Saccharomyces cerevisiae S288C: one gene and its partner. Changing the gene in region 2 together with the main gene of any one other region gives a genetic interaction. Each region holds a gene or a part of one and is shown on either strand. Other genes may lie near its edges. The genes, in order: PRS5 and OCA1.

Evidence for each region.
Region 1: mutations in OCA1 (region 2) and PRS5 together harm fitness more than expected from each alone (negative genetic interaction), as found in Saccharomyces cerevisiae (2 studies listed by BioGRID).

Annotation. Positions count from the first base shown.
Region 1 is NC_001147.6:205,129-215,167, reverse strand, and holds PRS5 (ribose phosphate diphosphokinase subunit PRS5), read right to left. Parts: upstream 2,925-10,039; coding exon 1,434-2,924; downstream 1-1,433. Other genes in the region: MAM3 (Mam3p), read left to right, coding at 1-1,151; APM4 (Apm4p), read left to right, coding at 3,173-4,648; CRT10 (Crt10p), read left to right, coding at 4,903-7,776; MET22 (3'(2'),5'-bisphosphate nucleotidase), read left to right, coding at 7,992-9,065; phosphoinositide 5-phosphatase INP54, read left to right, coding at 9,283-10,039.
Region 2 is NC_001146.8:438,067-450,238, forward strand, and holds OCA1 (putative tyrosine protein phosphatase OCA1), read right to left. Parts: upstream 1,218-12,172; coding exon 501-1,217; downstream 1-500. Other genes in the region: MIC27 (Mic27p), read left to right, coding at 1-251; Ras family GTPase RAS2, read right to left, coding at 1,536-2,504; PLS1 (Pls1p), read right to left, coding at 2,731-2,853; PHO23 (Pho23p), read right to left, coding at 3,300-4,292; 40S ribosomal protein eS7 RPS7B, read right to left, coding at 5,332-5,760, 6,106-6,249; YNL095C (uncharacterized protein), read right to left, coding at 6,846-8,774; phosphatidate phosphatase APP1, read left to right, coding at 9,545-11,308; Rab family GTPase YPT53, read left to right, coding at 11,802-12,172.

The DNA of each region.
Region 1 (10,039 bases), on a different chromosome or scaffold from region 2:
TCCCCCTAGCCACGTTGCCAGAAACTTCCCCGAACACATCTTGTTTGAATATTCTGAATTACTTCCAGGAGGGGAAAGCTCACATGTGCGTCGTTAGTAAAGAGCCGGGCTCCTCGCATGGCGCTATTGGTGTTTTAACTTTGGAGGATGTCATTGAAGAATTGATCGGTGAAGAAATCGTGGACGAGTCTGATGTCTTTGTGGACATGCATCAGCATATTATGAGACAACAACCGGGGCCCTTGAGCAAAAGGCACATTACTTCCTATTTGCATCATTTGTACACTAGCTCTCACAAGGAGCACAAAGCTGCTGACCAAGCTGATGAATCGTCTCCACTCTTGTCTCCATCCAATTCTAATCACCCATCCGAGCACCCACAGCAAGATTTGAATAATAAGTCTTGGAAGCAGAAGTCAAATGATGGTTACGACAGGTCCAACGCTGTATTGTCTCCAACTCCACAAGTGACGGAACATGGCACCATCATACCTTCAAATCTAGCGTCCAACCCGTTGAACGTAAATAAATCTTTTGTTACCATTAAAAAGCCTGCCAATGTTCCGAAAATCATTACTACACACACTCCTCATTCTAGCAAAGAGCCTTCTCCAGCACCACACTCAAATGATAAATCACTCTCCGCCGAAGAACAACAACTATTAAGTGATCATGCAGAGCTATCTCGCCAAGCTGTTCTCCATACTCAACGGTCGGGTCAACCAACTCAAGTTACTACCTCGACTAAAACCACGAGAAATAGCCCTGATAGTATATCAATTCCAAATTCTGGCGCGAATCACGGCAACGAAAATCAAAACGTTACAATCTCAACCTCTTACCAAAATACGAAGAATGGTATTGTGGAATCTGTCATCACAGTCAAAGGTGTTCCAAAAACCATCATTGGCCCCGCAAAAGATTGGGACGAATCCAAAAGTGAATATGGAAACGAGAATATCAATCAAGAGAATTCTAATCGAAGTGACGATAGAGAAAGTTCAAGTTCAAATGCAAGTTTATTTTCCAGTATTAAGAATAAATTTAAGAACGAAAACGCTAACAACAATGATCGTTCTAATTTCACCGACTCTTTGTCAAGAACTTCCAATTATGATGCCAACGGCTCCTCGTCGACCATAAAAAGATGAAGAGATTATGCCAAAAGAATTGCCCATGCATCATAATAACCATCATCACCGTTCTTATTAGTCCCAGACGCATGAAATCACAGGGGAGAGCAGCTTAAAATTTTTTCTACAGACATACAAGAAGAAATTGCAGTTTTTTTTTTTTTGTTTCTCTAACCTATAAATAAAATGTTTCAATACACATACTAAACAAAGAAAAAAAAATGTAGAGAATTTTATACGCAAAATATATAGACACTTTCCCCTATTTTTATCAATAAAAAAATGAACACATCAATGCCACTACCATCCATGCTCGAACAACATAGAAATGGATTCACCGTTATGGATTCTTCTAATTGCTTCACCGATTATGCAGGAGACATCAATAACATCCACTCTGTCCTTACCTAGGTACTGTAGTGTTCTATCTTGAGGAACCGTGTTAGAAATGATCAACTTATCTATACTACTTTGGCCGATTCTTTCTAGCGCATCACCGGAAAAAACACCGTGCGTTATTAAGGCATAAACTTTGGTAGATCCTTGATCCTTCAACAATTTCGCAGCTCTTGTAATAGTGTATGAAGTATCCACCAAGTCGTCGACTATAATACACACCTTGTTTCTAACATCGCCAACAAGCATGGTAGTTTGAACGAACTTGGACGAATTAGAAGATTGCGACGAGGTGGAAGATGTTGAAGTTGTTTTCTTCATTTCAAGGGCCGCAACCCCAGTGGCACCTGAAGAAGTAGTATTTTGGGAGGAAACCAAAGTAGTAACTAATGGCCTTGGAGATACTGGTAACGAACCACCAGAGGTTAACGTCGCATCTGGAGGGCCCTTCAATAACTGAGATCTTCTTTCTTTATGAATTAGGGCGAAGGACAATTCCAAGGCGTCTGCAATAGCCGTAGCTCTCTTTGCACCACCAGCATCTGGAGAAACGATCACAGCATCCTGATAATCTGGAATGCGATGCTGGATGTAGTTTTGTGCAATGGGTTTACAGTAGAGATTATCCACTGGAATGTCAAAAAACCCAGGGAACTGTGGATCGTGCAAATCCATTGTGATCACATGGTCAGCACCTGCAGCACTCAACAAATGAGCAATCAAAGTACCGGCTTGTACTACCCATAGCTTATAGCCTGCATTTTGAGCGTTGAACAATTCACCAGCGTCCGTGCTATTGCTTGTATTTTGTAACTTACCACCGGGAATCATAGGAATTCTTGAAAAAGAAAGCGTCTTCTTGATGTCGAAATTGTTATTCGCCGTAGCACTGCTGTTTGGTGTTCTGATAGGTTGAGGATTTTCTAAGTTGATAGTTGATCGTATTGCACTATCCAAACTCTTCAACGAGCTCTCAGCACCTGGTCTTTGCGTCATTAAAGAAGATGACACGGGTGTGCCTGGATGCGATTCAAAAGTATAGTTTTCTTTAGGCTTGGAAATTATGGGAGCACCCTTGGCAGTATATGGAATATCTGGCTGTCTCGAGTAGCAGAGATATGGCATTACGGCTGTAACCCTCGAGGCAGAAGCGGACTTGCAGGCACTGATTAAAATCAGCAACTGCATGAACGTGTCGTTCACCTGGCCACAACCACTCTGGATGATATATACATCCTTTTCACGAACAGATTCGCGAAGAGCAATGTTCGTTTCCCCATTAGAAAACTTCCCTAATTCTACTTTCGATGGGTGAATGTCCAAATTTTCACAGATCTTAGTAACTAACTCGGGGTGCGAGTCCCCTCCAAAAACAACAATATTACTCATTGACATCCAGACTGCGTTCCTAGCCTCGTAGCAACCTCCAACAAAGTCACTTTCGACCAACTTACTCTCATCTCATCCAGCCCTTCTCGCTAATCGTAGCCATTTATTATTTGATAGAAAATTTTTTTCAACTGCGGTCGAAGGGTAACAGCCATATTTTCCTTAATTGATTAGTATAGGAGAACTTGATGATAAAGTGTGGAAACCTTTCATAAACGGTTGGAGAAAAGAATCACATAGAGTTATGGTGAGCAATGATTAGTGGTGTGCTGGTATACTCATCGAGAGGTGAACTTGTCTTGAACAAGTTCTTCAAGAACTCGTTGAAGCGGTCCATATCCGATATCTTCCGAGTACAAGTGATCAATAATCTAGATGTTAGATCGCCTGTTTTGACACTGGGCTCAACTACTTTCCATCACATCAGGTCGAGGCATGGTGACAATTTGTGGTTGGTAACCATTACGAGAAGCAACGCTAATAGTGCGGCGATCTGGGAGTTCTTATATAAGCTTGATGCAGTGATGAATGCTTATCGATTGGATAGAGAGGAGGCCTTGAAAGAGGAATTCATGATTGTGCATGAGATGCTGGATATAATGTTGGGTGGAAATGGGATACCAATTGACACTGAATTGAACTCTGTTATAGCGCAGATGTCTGTGAAACCCGTTAGAAATATGGGCGGATTGTTAGATAGTCCCGATGGAAATGATGTATTATCTTCCTCTTCATCTCCTACTTCTTCAGCAGGAGAACTACATTTTCCCAAATTTTTGACAAAAAGAAGCAGTAGTTTCCTGGGTCAAGGAGACTCCACTTCTGATTTCTATGATAACAATAAGATCACTTGGAGGCCCAAGGGGATAATACACAAGAAGGATGAAGTTTTCTTGTATGTCAATGAGAGGATAAACATTCTGGTATCTAGGGATGGTTCTATCTTGAAATCATACGTTGATGGCACCATAGATATCACCACACACTTGAGTGGGACCCCTATTTGTAGATTTGGATTGAATGATTCTTTGGGAATGCAGTCCGAAGACGAGAAGAAATGGTTAGCACAGCAGCAGCGTCACTCTGGCAGCGATTTTGGAAACAAGAACTTCATTCCCAAAGCTGCTGCCGGTAGTGTTTTGTTGGAAGATTGCAAGTTTCACGAATGTGTCTCACTTGACAAATTTAACAGAAATCATATCATTGAATTCGTCCCACCAGACGGTTCGATGGAGTTGATGAAATATCATGTACGAGATAACATAAACCTGCCGTTCAAGGTTACACCTATTGTTACACATTCTACAAGAGATAACGAGATTGATTACAGGATAACATTGAAGTCTTTATTTCCTGGAAAACTTTCCGCCAAAGATGTGGTACTACATATACCCGTTCCACCAAGCACTGTGGATTGTAAGATAAGTGTCTCTAATGGCCACTGTAAGTTTGTGCCAGAAGAAAATGCAATGATTTGGAGGTTCAACAAGTACAATGGGTTGACGGAAAACACTTTAAGTGCAGTTACTGTGTCCACAAGTGATACTACTCAATTGAATCTTCAACAATGGACAAGACCTCCAATATCCCTGGAATTCGAGGTCATGATGTTCAGTAATTCTGGCTTAGTCGTACGATACTTTACCATTTCTGGAAAAGACAGTAAGCATCGTGCTGTAAAATGGATTAAATATATATCGAAAGCCGGTTCTTACGAGGTGAGGTACTAGCCCGTAATTTTTGTGTACATATATTTTTATCATGCCTGTATTTTTTATAGTAATTTCCTTTAGAATGCACATTTTGTTAATATTGAATATTTTCTATTATGAGAGACATGCAATTTAGTTTTTCATTGAAAAGAAAACAGGGAAAAAACATGGAAAAACCATACAAGACACCAAAAACACCATAGTAATGAAGATCAACAGCGCAATCAAGAGGCACTGGTACTTCTAGGCTTGAAAATTTGGTTTTGAATATAATGCCCCCTCAGATTCCCAATGAAAATGATGATCTCTTTACAAGGTGGCTTAAGTCTCGGGCCATCATACAAAGGGCAGTATCGACAAGAGAGTGCTTTGACTCAGAAGTATTTCTGGCGTCTGGTGGCTGGAATATAACGAATGAGATAATAACGTTAAAGAAATATTATCAACTCAAGTGGCCAAACTCCAGTTGCAATTCGTTTCATCCAAAAACCGTGGAGTTTATTAAAGAACGATTACACAACCTAGAAGAACATGACTCTTCATGGAAAATCCCAAATCCTGCTTACTCATTCAAGAAAGCCTTCTTGGAGGATACTAAATCTGCATTTTCCAACTTAGAACCCGTCTGGGGACCATCAAGGCTTTTGAATCCAGCTGAATTACTATTGCCACAGGACGAAAAACTACTTGTTCAAGAGATACCACTAGAGTTCGCACCTTTTCAATACACAAATAGGTTTGCTTATGGTGGTTTGCAGTTCAAGAACAATTTGTTCGTCACTTATGGGAGTTATTCCTTCCTGGCTGCCGGTCAATGCGTCGAAGTTCATAATTTCGATATACTATTGAACGTTTCGTCATTAGAAATATGTCACGCCTTATTGCCCGTGATAATACCAGATGACGGAGATGTAAGAAACTTCCGCAATTCATCATATGTGAAATTTAAGGATACACAGTTCAACAGCATACCTGAACTATGTTCTATCAACTTTATGAAGATTTGTAACTTCATGCATCAAGATTTTCTACTAGCTTGCGGTGACAACGGAATCGTTTATATCTGGGAAATCAACAAAGTTATTAAGATATTTAATAAATTTACTTCGGATATCTTGGGAGGCAAAGATAACAGCCGGGAAAGATACATAAATGTTGATCCATATATGGTGTTAAGAGTAGAGGAATCTTGTTGGAGTGTTGATGTAATAGATATAAATGGCATCATATATATCGCTGTTGGCCATAACAAGCCTGGAGTTACAGTCTTTGCATTCGATAAAGATGTAAAGAAGGAAAGACGGTACATTCGGCCTCTAGATCTTCCCTCATCTCACAATGTTCCTTGTGTTAACTTTGTTCCTAATTCAAAAGATTCTGTTGGATATATTACATTAAGTTATTGTTCTATATTTGGGAATGTTGTTACCGTTAAATTAAAGGAGCATGATTGTACCATTTTAACGAGTTTCCTTGATACTCAATTTTTTGGCGACGACTTATGGACAATAACTCCACTGACTAAGAAGGATTTTGCGAAAGTTGACAATTTCGAATTGTTGAATCTTAACTACCAAGACGGTTTCAAAGAAAGCATGTTATATTCTATTTGCCGAGATGATTTTTTACTTGGGTATTACTGTGATAACGCCTACCTCTCTGGGAATTTCGGTATTGGTACATTACTCAATCAATTTCAGGTTCCTGTCACAGACCTACGACTGACTTCTTCAGCAGGGATCCCCGATGAAGTTATACCATTAAGATTTACCTCATTTGATAGAAATTACACTACAACGGGCTCGATAAAATACGAGTACAGCAGAGAGGATTTTGCACTTATTTTACATGCCGGTGACTTAGACGATATGAATGATGCAGTGACAAAAAACACCTCATGTGAACAGCATTTACACCAATGGACATTTTGGGAGGATTCTGGTTATAAACATTATCGTGCTACTGAGCGTGGATTTTCGAAATACAAGGATATTATTAATACTTTTCCACAGTTGATAACTCCTAGTGGAAGAAATAAAACATCGCAATATCAAAACACTTCTGGGAGAAAGATCTGTGAGCCGTCTACTTATAAACTTACTGATCTCGAAAATGATATTGAAGATATATCTCGCGAATTTAATAGAAGTATTCGTAATTTGAAAATGGATAAACAAAGACAACTACGAACTTCAAAAGAGTTCAAATCGCTAAGTTCAGTAAATCATATACCAAATATTGAATCGGGAAACTTTTTATGGTACAACACCGATGCCGCTGCCGATTGGAGAACACTTTTTGGCAAGGATTTGAACACGGTCTTGAAGGACCCAGAAATTTGTAGCCTTCAACTGAACTCTACAGAAGAGGACGATGTCAATAGCGACCCTGAAAATGAAGAATCTGGTAGCAGCTTAACAAGTTTCCAGCGAAGATATAGGGATACTGAACAGCGTGCTCACTTGAAATCAGAATCGCAGAAATCTTGGGGGTTCCACAACTATGTAAGAAACGTCAAGCGGTTATTAGAGTCAGCAGTACCGGGCTCAGAAGATTCGCCTCTTGGGTATCAACTATCCGAAATGCACGACGAGTTCTTCTTCCTAACCACAGCCCATAGGCTGGTGTTGATGAAAGCAAATCCACTCATAATTATATCAGCAACTCATCATGAGATTTTTCCCTTAGATGGTGTTGTGACGTGTGCTTCCAAGTCGCTGCTCCAAGCACTAAACAGAATAAATTTTGTGTGTCACATCAAAGAACTAAATTGCATAGCCGTGGCTTCACAATTGGGTCTCATTTCATTACTAAGACTAACAGAGTACAGAGGCATCTATTCGTTTAGACAAGAGTATATTCTTGGATGGGAAGTCCAAGACCCTGTTAACCCTAGTCCAGAGTGCAGATGTAACAGGAACTTGTTTGACGCACCAATGTATGGTGCAGATGGAGAGAGCTCGGACACATACTGCGGCGTGTGCGACGTCTATTTCCCCATGGGTGATATTTGCGGACTAGATTACACTTATGCATCTGACAGTGAAGAGTTAAAACGTAAGGGATATGCTACCTTATACGTAGCATCAAGAGGCTCCTTGAGGGCATTCAAGATCACAACTGAGCATGGAACAACTCAACAATAGCATATTTTGACATTTACATAGCCATCTATATAATAATCCTTCCTTCATTGAAATGCGCGAATGACTCAGACGAGCAATATCACGTGTTGCGATTTTACTTTCAGTTTGCAAAGAAGAAACCATGCCACATATAAAGAACGTTTGCACTTCTCTTTAATTTATTAGTTAGTAAGTAAGAAGTTTAAAGACAACTCAGAAGACATCAGCACTTTACTATGGCATTGGAAAGAGAATTATTGGTTGCAACTCAAGCTGTACGAAAGGCGTCTTTATTGACTAAGAGAATTCAATCTGAAGTGATTTCTCACAAGGACTCCACTACTATTACCAAGAATGATAATTCTCCAGTAACCACAGGTGATTATGCTGCACAAACGATCATCATAAATGCTATCAAGAGCAATTTTCCTGATGATAAGGTAGTTGGTGAAGAATCCTCATCAGGATTGAGCGACGCATTCGTCTCAGGAATTTTAAACGAAATAAAAGCCAATGACGAAGTTTATAACAAGAATTATAAAAAGGATGATTTTCTGTTTACAAACGATCAGTTTCCGCTAAAATCTTTGGAGGACGTCAGGCAAATCATCGATTTCGGCAATTACGAAGGTGGTAGAAAAGGAAGATTTTGGTGTTTGGATCCTATTGACGGAACCAAGGGGTTTTTAAGAGGTGAACAGTTTGCAGTATGTCTGGCCTTAATTGTGGACGGTGTTGTTCAGCTTGGTTGTATTGGATGCCCCAACTTAGTTTTAAGTTCTTATGGGGCCCAAGATTTGAAAGGCCATGAGTCATTTGGTTATATCTTTCGTGCTGTTAGAGGTTTAGGTGCCTTCTATTCTCCATCTTCAGATGCAGAGTCATGGACCAAAATCCACGTTAGACACTTAAAAGACACTAAAGACATGATTACTTTAGAGGGAGTTGAAAAGGGACACTCCTCTCATGATGAACAAACTGCTATCAAAAACAAACTAAATATATCCAAATCTTTGCACTTGGATTCTCAAGCCAAGTACTGTTTGTTAGCATTGGGCTTAGCAGACGTATATTTACGTCTGCCTATCAAACTTTCTTACCAAGAAAAGATCTGGGACCATGCTGCAGGCAACGTTATTGTCCATGAAGCTGGAGGTATCCATACAGATGCCATGGAAGATGTTCCTCTAGACTTCGGTAACGGTAGAACGCTAGCTACGAAGGGAGTTATAGCGTCAAGTGGCCCACGCGAGTTACATGACTTGGTGGTGTCTACATCATGCGATGTCATTCAGTCAAGAAACGCCTAAATAACATATATTTTACTTTATTGATAGACATAAATATATGAGTACATATATATATGTGTGTATGTGTATGTACATACCAGTTAAATGATAACCTTTTTTTATTGTTGTTATAGCGTGAAAAAAGGAAAATACAGTGAAAAGAACAAAACTGAAGAGGTAAGAGTAGGCTAACAAAGAAGAAAAGTGAGACAAGAAAATACAGCAGGATTCTGACCGAATGAACAAAACGAATTGGAAGGTATCTGTAACTACATTCAATTGTGGTAAGGAATTTCCCGTTGAAAATTCGAAAGCAATCGTTAAGCAATTGCTTTTCCCCTACGATGACGGCATCTCCCAATTGGAATTGCAAGATCTATATGTGTTGGGGTTCCAAGAAGTAGTCCCCATATGGCAAGGCTCCTTCCCTGCTGTTAATCGTGATTTAATCGATAGAATTACAACTACTGCGGTTAATTGTCTGAATGAAAAAGTGTCAGCTACACAAGGGGATGAGCAGTATTCATGTTTAGGGGTGAATAGTCTTGGGGCGATTACCATAATAGTATTATACAATAATAATGCGCTAAAGGTAAAAGATGATATTTTGAAACGGAATGGGAAATGCGGTTGGTTTGGTACACACTTGAAAGGTGGAACTTTGATAAGTTTTCAGATGACACGCAATGGCGAGGAGAACTGGGAAAGATTTAGCTATATTTGTGCTCATTTAAATGCAAATGAAGGTGTCAACAATAGAAATCAAAGAATAGATGATTACAAACGAATAATGAGTGAAGTGTGTGATTCTGAGGTTGCAAAAAGCGACCACTTTTTCTTTCTAGGCGATTTGAATTTTAGGGTTACTAGTACTTATGATCCAACTACCAATTATTCGTCCACCACAACGTTAAGGCGTCTATTAGAAAATCATGAAGAACTAAATCTGCTACGTAAAGGAGAGGATGAACCGTTATGCAAAGGTTTTCAGGAGC
Region 2 (12,172 bases):
TACCATGGGTATTGGCAGCAGCTACATTCAAGTATTGGGCTCCACAGACATCACAGAATTTGGTCAATGCCACTGAAAATGATTTACTGCCAGCTGATTTCGTCAAGTCATATCACAATACTTGGAAACGAATTTATGAGGAAGGATATGTTGCCAAGAAATGTGATTTAAAACGTCAAATCGATCAGACATTACAAAAAAATATAAGGTATGCAAGGGAACAGCTTTATGAAAAGTTGGAGCAAGCATGATATCAAGCGGATATCTTTTTTTGTTCATTATCATGTCCATAGTAAGTATGTCCATATATAAATCGGATAATTAATATTCTATAAAATTACCCATTAAATAAATTTCATTTATTTTGAATTTCATTTCGTGTGATCTTTAGAAGTTGGTTCGCGAATGGGCCGTGCATCCTGAAACATTTCAAACTTTAGGTAAATGGTCATAAAGCTCAGTGCTTTTTCTTTATCTTTTGCATTTTTTTTTTCTTGCCTCTACTCCAAAGCTGTCAGTAACCAACTTGGTGCTTTATTTTTGTCTATTTTTACTAAATTAGTGTCGAAAGCTTCTATAAGCAACTCTACAAGAATTCTACCACCTCTGCTACCAGTAAAGCGTCTATATTCTTCGGATACACTGGCTAAGTTCCAACCCATTATTCTTCTGAGACATCCAATGACTGTCCCAGTCCTATGTCTTCCCATACCACAGCACACTAGCAAGGGATAATTCTCTTGAGTGACGATCGTTTGTAGTACATTAATTATAGAATGTTCAGTGAGACCGTCCCATGGATTATCGTCCTCACCGGCATCCGGGTTGATGGCTGCGAATTGTAAGTTTATTCTATGAGTATCACAAAACTCTAGGAGGGTATCTTGAGGTTCTTCGTTAGACAGCCATATAATTGTTTTCAGTTTTAGGTTTAGTAAAAAGGGGAAATTCACAGGTGAAGGCTGACCAGATCTATAGAGGTATCTTTCAACGGGACAGAAATTCAAAGGTGGAACGATACGTTCTTGTGGGGCATGTGATACCAAGACCTTTTCGCGACCAGATTCTGTTTCTTCATTGATATATATATGATCATCATCGTCGTCTTCTTCCTCGTCTTCGTCTTCTACTTCTTCTTCAGGTACGGATACGTTCTCTTCTGTGAGGCGGGACTCATCCTCTGGAACGTCCTCATATTCACCAACTTTAGATGTCATTCTAAGGGGAAAGAGAAGCTTGTTATTCCAGGTGGAACACCTCTTTCTTGTGAAAATGGATGTGATTGATGACTCTCTGCAATGTCCAATTTTATGTTATAGCGATGTTGTTTGTTTTTTCCTTTACCCGGCAACCATATGATATTGCCCAAAGTTTCCAATGTTAACAAGAATGAAACGGAAATAGCAAATGGCAATAAGCAATATAAAAACAGTCACTTTTTTATTTACTTTTGTATATATTTATAAATGTGTGTACTCGTTTCAACTTTATAGAGTTCTTTTCGTCTTAGCGTTTCTACAACTATTTCCTTTTTATTAACTTATAATACAACAGCCACCCGATCCGCTCTTGGAGGCTTCACTGGTGTTACCGCCGGGTGCAGCTTGCTGCTTCCTAGCCTGTTTAGCATTTGAAACTTGACCGGCCTTACTATTATTATTTACACGATTATTAACCGTATTAGCGCTTTGAGCGTTGGCCTGACCAGCTTGGCCCGTGGAATTGTCTATATTGGTGCGATCAGTTTGTGTCTTACCATTTGTCGCCTGGTTGCCTGCCAACCCTGTCTTACTCTCTATGCTTGCATTCCTGGCATTCACGACAGTTGTGCTACTGTTCACATTTTTACCGTTGGCAGCATTGCTCATCTTCCTGTGGCCACCGCTATTTCTAGGCACAGAGTTGGCACCGCTCCCTTTTGTATCTTGAGAAGTTTGCTTGGAGTTGTCATTTTCCGTCAAAGTCTTGTTGTACTTGCCGCCTTCGTCTCTAACTAAACGTGCTAGAGTGTAAAACGCCTCTTCCACGTTGATTGCTTGCTTAGCAGATGTCTCCAAGAAAGGAGCGTTCATTTGCTTTGCCATGTTCAACCCGTCCTGGTAAGAGACCTGTTTTTCGTTTTCTAAATCAGATTTGTTACCAACAACCACAATTGGAACATAGTCGGTATCTTTGACTCTCAATATCTGTTGATAGTAAGTCATAAGCTCATCAAGAGACGACTTGGACGTTATAGAGTAAACCAATAGGAATCCTTCGCCGTTGCGCATGTATTGTTCCCTCATAGCAGAGTATTCTTCCTGCCCTGCAGTATCCAAAATGTCCAATATAGACACTTCATCATCAATCACCACTTGCTTCCTGTATGAATCCTCAATTGTGGGATCGTATTCATCTACAAAGTGCGATTGGGTCAATTGTATGGTCAAAGCAGATTTACCAACACCACCACCACCAACGACGACTAGCTTGTACTCTCTTATGTTCGACTTGTTCAAAGGCATTTTTTTTTCTGTATATCTCCTTTCAATTCGAAAACGGTTAACTTGGTTTTTTTATCCGTAATTCTCTCGTATCTTTCTGCTCAAGTAATTTTCTCCTAGTTGATTAATATAGTGCAGAAGAGTCAGATAAAGAGTGGATGAATAAAATGGAAAAAAAACAAAAGCCGGATTGCGTTACGCTTGAAATGAGCGATTCTAGGCGATAAGAGAAGACAACGGCTAAAACTTAAGATGTTGGGGTACTATAAATGTTTACCCAGATTTTCGGTAGAAATGTTTGCTGATGTGAACCTTGTTTCCCGTTTTCCCAGATCCCCTTATTCCAGCTTTGTTTCGTCTTTGCTGTCATGTTCCGTTTAATTTCTGAAGGCCTGCCTAGCTTCACCGTCCTAAATGTCACGCTCCAGGCAGAGACATGGCGCAGGGGCGAGGCCAGGGGCAAAGGGGTCAGGCAGGAACCTCCAAGGGGGGCGAGGTGAATGAAAAGGTCCTTCTGAATAAAAAGCCTAAGCGATTAGCCACACCACCCACTGTACGGCGATTAGACTGAGCTGCTGGCGCTGCTACGCCGTGACAAGTCATTTCATCATTTATTACGTTTTATCGTGCCGTCATCACCATCGATTTGAATATTTTATCTAGACCGGTAGGGCCCAAGTATCTTGCAGATCCATTGATACGGCCACGCCCGTTAAAACGCTAAGATATATATATATGTAGCTAAGATATATATATATGTATATATTCGGTATTTAGTAGATATTTCCTTAAGGCGATATTCGCCCGAGAGCTATTTCACAGTTTTTTTTTGCAGTCGTCGCAATACCACTTGCCCTTAGGTAGAGTTTCGAGTCCAATACATGGCAAATGGAACCATTCTAGCTCACAGTCTGCGCCATCACACCCCACCATTTCCCCGTATGCCACTTGGTTACAGTAGCAGTAGAGCGGTTCGCCGTAGTCGTTGGTTTTTGGTCTTGATATCCTGCTGTTGTTGCTGTTTCCGACGCTGCTAACTCCCCTGGACGCTGTAGATGTACCTATCCTGCCATTATTGACGGCAGTTGCCGTGCTGATAGTGCTTGGTGAAACGGCTGTGGTGGCAACTCTCCTCTTGCGTTTTTTGGTCTCTGGATCGGCGTTGTTGGTATTGGCAGCGTTGGCTCTTTTTCTTGAGTTTGTGTTGTTACCAGTGTGGTCTTGGCTCTCGTGCCTGCTGCCTCCGTAGTTTGCGTCGTTCTTTGAGTCGTCTTGTTGGTGTGTGCTGGCGGAGTAATGTTCGCCCTGCCTCCTGTTGGCAGCCATGGCTTCTCTTCTTGATTCGCTCTTCAGTGCCTGCGACGATTTGCTGTTTGATTTGCTCTCTATTTTTTCCATTAGTTCATGATGGAGGTGCATTGCTGGATGGTTGTCCACACCCAGTCTTAAACCTCTAGGAATTTCTGTGTTCTTGATTGCGACTTCATACGCCAATTCTAACCGGGACGTCAATCTGTCTAGATTATCCAGCATAATGGATGAGACATGCATTTTCTCCTCCAGCGATGGCATCAGTTCTTCATAAATCTTGTTGATATTATTGAGCAGTCTTACTTGTGTTTGGTGATCTTTATTGAAGTCTTTCTTCAAGAACTTATCTATCCTCTCGTTCAAATTCGGCATAGAATGCACACATTTTGCATCTATTTCGTGTAGTAATGTTAAATATCTGGAGGTGGCCAGTGGGAATTCCTCCAGCACGTCAGTTATGTCGTTTAATCCAGGGAATAGGTTCGCTGGTGAACTCATTTGTACGTATTTCAGACTATGAACGTGGTTGCTGTTTGTGATACTGCAAGACTACAAACTTTTCTCCTTCCGGGTTCGTCCTGTTGTAAACGCCTAACTCTTTTCCTTAGGCTCCTTTTTCGTTTTTTCCCTAGCTCTTTCTTTCTTCTTCATGTGCATGCACTCTTTCCTACATATTTTTTTTTCAAGGGCATTTTTAACTTTCTTCGGAAATCGTCTAAGAATTGTAAACTATAATTGCAAATACGCGATTAGCTCTATCTAGAATACCGAAAAAAAGGTTTGCCACTCACAATTGGACGTGCCTCAATTATTTCAAGTATACGTCATTTGGGCTTTTGACTTGTAAAATATACTCAAATGAAATTCTGATTATACAAAGTTGAAACACGTAACACGCCATGTCAAGGTACGCGTAGAGGTAAGCAGATAATGCATGGACAATGTGCTGGGCGAAGAGGCGGATCTAATTACACATACTTGGGATCATCTAAGATTTCAGATGGTTATGTTAATGCTCACTTGTTCCACGCCTTTTTCCTTTCCTTCAGATAAGTAATCCGCATATCAATGTGAAAGAACTAACGGTTGTTGATGGACGTATCGTTGTCTAGCGATAAATAATGCTTTTTCTTCAACAAATAAGTGGTTGTTTGGCCGAGCGGTCTAAGGCGCCTGATTCAAGAAATATCTTGACCGCAGTTAACTGTGGGAATACTCAGGTATCGTAAGATGCAAGAGTTCGAATCTCTTAGCAACCATTATTTTTTTTCCTTTTTATCTGATTGCAGCGAGAACTTGGGAAATCAACCCAATATGTATTCCAAAATGTCAAAACACCAATTAAAGCATCTCTATATTGACAGATACAAAATATATTTAAGTATACATTCATAATTATTTTACTCGAATTAAAAAAGCCCACTTTTTGGAAACCTCCTTTTGTATTCTCATAACTATGTTTCTTTTTTTATTATTTTTTCTTAATATTATTTTCTTTAAGTATGACAAATGATGAGAATGATAGTTATCTCACTATTTAGTTGGTCTGGCTTGGAATTTCAAAAACAATTTGTTTGCCAGTCAACTTGTTGTAGACAGCTTGGAAAGATTCCAACTTGTAGTCGATTTGTTGAACATCCTTGGAGTCTAACAAAACCTTTTGGATCTTGTTACCACCAACCAAATATCTAACTCTTTTACCGACAATTTCAGTTGGGAAAACCATGTCTTCCAAAACCTTGTCGTGAACAGCAGTCAAAGTTCTGGATCTTGGTCTCTTTTGGACTTGTCTAGATGTTCTAGATGGTTTTGGCAAGATTCTTCTTTCAGCCAAGAAAATAACATGACGGTCAGGGAATTTCTTTTCCAATTCACGGGTCAATTTGGTTTGGACCTTATGGTATGCAGACAAAGCTGGAACTGGGACAAAAAGGACTAGTGCTTTCTTACCACCGGTGACATCAATCTAAACAATAAGAATCAAGCAGCGTTGAAATAAAGTTAGTAACTGAATTGGTTCATTCATAACAAAAAAGGGTTTGTGATTCTTCTCCTTGGGGTAAGGTCTTTTTCGCGTGCTTCTATTTTATTCATCGATATTGGTACTGACCAAGGAGGCCTTTATAGTTCAAAGGCTCATCGCAACGTTCATGGTATTGACAGCTCTCGGAATTACTATTTTTCTCGAACACATGAAAATTTCATACAGATACTGCTCAAAATCACTCTTTTTTGAAAAAATTACTGCAAAGAACCCCTTTAGAAGAAATCACAATGTTGCTGCTTCCAAATTATATAACTTTTAACATACTTCTCTGATAGATTTGATTTGCAATGGTCTCAAGTCAGCCTTTAGTTCTGGAGAGGAGCTTTCTAGATCGATGAAGGTCTTGGCGACTTGTAATTCCAACTCACTTGGAGCTTGGGATAAGATCTTGGATTGGACAGAGGACATTGGTCAGTTATGTGTCTAGTCTTTAGTGTGTTGGTTTCTCTTCTGTTTGTATATACAAAGTCAAATAACACATATTTTAACCATAATCAATAGCATTTGGTATTTCCCCCTCCGCGTATTATGAACGCCTAGTGAGCCCATTCTTCCCTAAAGCCAGGCTGGAAACCCAAACTGTGTGGAACGTGACTGAATTGCATTTGGTGAGTTACCAAGCAAAGGCTCGCAGGCTTGAACCACATTTTACCAGGGCGCTCGCTTTTTCCGAAATATTGAAATTAAGCAAAACAATAATGTACGGATTTAAAGAGGTACGGATGGAGACCGTAGAAAATTGACTTTTTTTTTTTTTTTGTTATTTTCTGTGCCTTTCGTAACTACTACTATGCAGAATGACAGGTAGTTGTTGTTTCGAATTGCTACTTTCACGCATTCAACTTGATCAACATTTCTCTCTGATGAAAGGTTGTGGAAAGTTTGGTCGTGTCTATAAGTAGGTGTTTTTTATTAGTTCTATATAAAAATGGAGAATGTTAATTTTAACCCACCCTAAAACAGTGATTAGGAGTGGTAATAATTTTTTGTTTAATGGATTAAAACTAAAGGTTCATCTGTACTTTCAGAAAGTAAGACACTAAAAATGGCAAGCTAACAACCATTAGCGGGTATTGCAGCATTAAGAAAAATGAAACACACTCCATTTGGATTGGCGCAGTTGTTTCTGGCGGCGTAAAACTGGCGGTGAAATATATAAGGGTAGTCATCGTTGGCAAGTTCCAGCTGATTGCTATAACAAATAGTAGCATTCTATCATCTTGCCAATTAACCCATCCAGCTTTCACTAACCGATCACACCATAGGACACCAAAAATTGGCATGACACATTGTCTCAAAATGACGAGTGTCACAGCGGCTTTCCAAAATCCAGGATAAAGGTTGCCAATCTTTAATCTTCCTAAAGTTGCTCCTAATAATATCAACCCAAATGGAACACATGCGGCACCGACATAACCTGTAAAATCCATGAAAAAGCTTAATGGTGGTGCATTGTCAGGAGCTTGGCTTATGTGAGGAGTATTAGCGGTAGTCACGAACAAAGCCTTGACCCATGGGATAAATGCAACAGTTAGGGCGATGATCACGGCCATAGAGCACGGTCTCAAACAATTCTTTAGGAAAAACACAAGTAATGGAGTTAATGAAAATTTTCTCATCCACTGTGGTAATGATTCGCCGGATGTTTCAATATCCTTTTTACTTACAGTGGCATCTGATGTTAAGATCCTGGTTAGGTTAGCAGTTTTTATAGTCTGTAAAGTGGAATTTGAGCTAATTGAATGCACATCATTCATATCAGCGCCGCGTAAACTGGAATTCCTCCTTTGATGACCATACTGGTCAACGTTGGAGTACTCTCTGATAAGATGGTGTATATTTTGAGAAGGTAATGCACGCATATCAATGGAGCGGATAGGTTCCAATGCCGCCATAGACATATTTTTTGGGCATTTTTCATCTAAACAGTTCTCTTCTAGGAGTGTGGTAGTATTGTAAGCTCTCGGCTGGCTCGCGGTTCTACGTGCTCTCATAGTATCTATGCTACTCTCATAACTCTCTGACGTATTATAAGAATGTATTGTTGAAGCAGATGATTGGCTATCTAATGGATTTGAACCACGAGTTGCCTGTGACTCTTCGCTTTGAGTGCACGCAATAGTATTTCTTGCCTTCACCTGAACTGGTTTTGTAATCTTTGAATTCGAAGAAGTGTCTGGTAGTGACAGGGGAGCTATACTATTTGTTGATCTCCTTGAAATTGGTGGTACGTCTGCGTTTTCACCCTTTGTACCTATAGCTTCAGTGAGACTATCGCGAGCGGTGTACTTATTGTTGAAAAGCTGTTGTTCGTTTGAGAAGAAACGCTCGCTAGTATCTGTATTAGTTGTGTTTGCACTTACTGCGGGCTGTGTCTTTGTCGTTTCTGAAACCCTAACGGCGCTTTCATCGTCGTTGTACTCGAAATCGCTTTCAATCAGTCGAAACCCCCCCAAATTGAAAATGCAAATTAGAAACATTGTCAGAAATATAATGACGTTAGCCACACCTTTGTTACCTTCTTCTTCCGAAAATACAAGCCCTTGGTCCATAGATTGTAAATATGCAATTGGTAAATCACTTATATTTGGAAACATACCACCGGCAAGAATACCACCGTACCATTGTTTAGGAACAGGCAGGAATAGCCTAACAACGTATGCAAAAAAGAACCCAGAACCAAATATTAGGAGGGCAGACAGACAGATAATTCCCACAGATTTGATGTCTTTATCTTCAATATTAGCGACAATCTTGTTGAATGACAGAGAGGGTAGTAAAACTGTTAGCACGATATCAGAAATAATTCTTGTTGCTTCAACCGTAAGAATTCCCATTTTAGCCATCAGAAAGCCGACTCCTATAATCAAATAAATCTTGATTATCGGCTTAACTGACACCCATATCGCTTGACCCAGAGTAATGTGCACCATCTGATGAAAATTTGAGGTTTCAATCCCTTTCTCTGTTTGATTCTATAACTTCTCCAAAAAAATTGCGCTGACGCTAATTAGTCACTGTTTATATCTTTTTTAGCGATGATTTGTAACAATATGCCATAAAAGCGTTCTCTAACTGCGGAAGTGATGAGAATTGAATAGTTTTATTCAGAAGGCAATATATCCTAATATGGCACAAAAAGGCAACTTGTATGCACAAAATGAGCATAAGAGTTCAGGCAGAACGTTGTGCTCTTGATCCAAAGGTTAAAAGTCATCGAGTAGGAAGATATTGTAACCTTCGCGCAAACCGCAGCCGCAGCGGGTCACGTGGTCGCGCAAATGATGATGAGGGCGCGGTCTAACTTTCCAAACGAGGTTACCAACAATTCTCGGACAGATAAAGCATTAGAATAGGGTGGCAACGCCTTTACGGTTAGCTTGTTCATTGTGATTGGTTTGTGTATCTTTTCTTGGCTTTTTATGCCCACGAGACATAAAGTATACGAAGCTGTTATACTATTCGTGATCCAGGGCAAAAATTTAGCATCATTAAGGCATATATATCGCAAATAGTGGGTTGCACAAGGCTTTCAATAAACAGTGTCATATGTTTCTCTAGCTCTGTCGGTTTGTTGGCTATAAAGAGTTTGTCTAGTAATCGCCGTCTTTTCTTGGGACCATTAACACAGACAAGGACATTGAAACTTGGCTATAAGTTCCGTCAAAGGGGGAAAAAATTGCTTTGGAGAAGGAATAAAAAGATGAATAGTCAAGGTTACGATGAAAGCTCTTCCTCTACTGCTGCTACTAGCGGTCCTACTTCTGGAGACCCACGAATGGGTAAGAAACAACGGTTTATGAATCTCATAAGAACCACAAAGGATGTTTATATTCCTAACCTGACGTCATCCATTTCTCAAAAGACAATGGATGGCATCAGGAGCACTACGAATTCCTTCGAAGGTTATAATGACTTGCCTATGGAATTGCCACATAATACCACGATAACATATTTTCCAACGTATACCACAACTAATTTGGTTGACCCTGACGGTTTGAGTGCGCCTCGGAAAGATTTTGAAACTACTGTCAGATGTGCTGTTTCTTATCCAGGAAATCCTACAAGCAGGAGAAATAGGTGGTTGCTTTCTCTTTGTAAACAATATCTTAGAACTGGAACGGCGGAGGCCGATGTTGCACCTGTTGTTCCCCCTCATCTCGAAGAGGATTCTGGAGATTTAAACGACTCCCAATCAAGTATAGAAAGTTCTTTGTCTTCAAAGAGCGAAAATAGGTATTCACATATGGGCATCCAAGAGGAAGATGTTCTGAATGAGAGAATTCAAGGATTCCTGTCCAAAAAAGTTCCTAATACTCCAGTGGTGGTTGACCTATTGCCCAAAGATAAGCTCAGAGGGGATACGGCTTCCTTTTTTGGTACCACGGACTCTTATGGTAATTTACTAATCAAGGCAGAAACAGATTTTTTACCGTCCAAGATTAATATTACATTAGATACCCCTATAGAAGGCCATGCAGATCCCATATCTGAAACATTTCCGGCCAATTATGTCTCGCCCTACGGTATTGGTTTAATCAGTGATATTGACGACACCATCAAGCATACTGGCGTTACGGGTGACAGGAGATCGATGTTTCGTAATGTTTTCATCCATGATGTTCAATCGTGGGTAATAGATGGTGTTCCTCTTTGGTACAAAACTTTACATGATGTCGCAGACGTTGATTTCTTTTATGTTTCTAATTCACCCATCCAAACTTTTACTCTTTTGAAACAATATATTTGCGCCAATTTTCCTCCGGGTCCAATTTTTTTGAAACAATACTCTGGTAATTTCTTTTCCACTATCATGACTTCAAGTGCGAATAGAAAAATTCAGCCGATTGCAAATATCTTAAAGGATTTTCCCAAAAAAAAATTTATTTTGGTCGGTGATTCTGGTGAACATGACTTAGAAGCGTATACCACTACGGCTTTACAATTTCCGAACCAGATTCTGGCTATTTATATAAGATGTTGCTCTAATTCCATGAGTGATGTCCCATCGCATGATGAAGAAGTTATGAATGAAGTGAACAATATCATCGAATTACAACAACGGCCCATGCAAATGACCAAGTCTACCGTACGTACCAGGAGAAGACCACCACCACCTCCCATTCCTTCCACTCAAAAGCCATCGTTGACAGAAGAGCAAACCGAAAGTATAAGAATGTCACGCCGTAATAAAGATGAGAACAATGCTAAAAGAGTTGCCCCACCACCGTTGCCGAACAGACAGTTACCTAACTTAGACGCTAATACTTACTATGTACCATCCTCACAAAATGACTATGGCATGTATGGTGCTTTCATGGATAAAAAAGCAGATGAATGGAAGAGAAGAGTAATGGACTCAATTCAAAAATTGAGCAATCAAGACACCACATTGATGTTCTTTTCGGATCCGGCATTAAGTTTGGAAGACAGTATTCGCAGAATTAGGGAGAAGTATTCAAACTAAATACACTGTTATTTATATACATCGGGAGGGAGTTTAAAAATTGTATACACTAAAGTGACCTTATGAATTGGAGCCATTTTCAACGTTTTAGAGTGATGTTGCATCCTTTTCATCAGATCGGGAAATTAAAAAAACGGTTATAGAAGGGCTAAATGTAAATATGTAAATTTTATGAAGTCAAGAGTAAAGAAAATCTTCGGTTGCCGATCAAATACACTCTTACAAAATACCCTAAACTCAGTTTATCTTTCCATTCCAACTGATTATCGCGTACGCCTTGGTGACCAACCATACCCTAAAATGTCAATTTCCGGGGCGGAAGGGGTCCTTAAACTGCAAAGCCTCTTCCCATGTAAATAAAATAAATCCGTAGAATTTATTAAATATTGTCATATTATAAGTCGGGAAAGGCCTTCTGAATGCACGTATATTGACCAAATAGAGTTAGATTCAAATTATTTATTACATTTTTTCAGCATCGAAGTTAAGTAGAATGGATAAACATACAGCAGCTATTCCAACATTAACTATCAAAGTAGTCTTACTCGGAGAATCTGCTGTCGGGAAGTCCTCAATAGTCCTCAGGTTTGTATCTGACGATTTTAAAGAGAGCAAAGAACCTACTATTGGTGCCGCATTTTTAACAAAGAGAATTACAAGGGATGGCAAGGTCATTAAATTTGAAATATGGGATACGGCAGGCCAGGAGAGATTTGCTCCTTTAGCGCCTATGTACTACAGAAATGCTCAAGCTGCTTTGGTAGTTTTTGATGTTACTAATGAAGGGTCTTTTTATAAGGCTCAAAACTGGGTCGAAGAACTACACGAGAAGGTAGGACATGATATCGTTATTGCCTTGGTGGG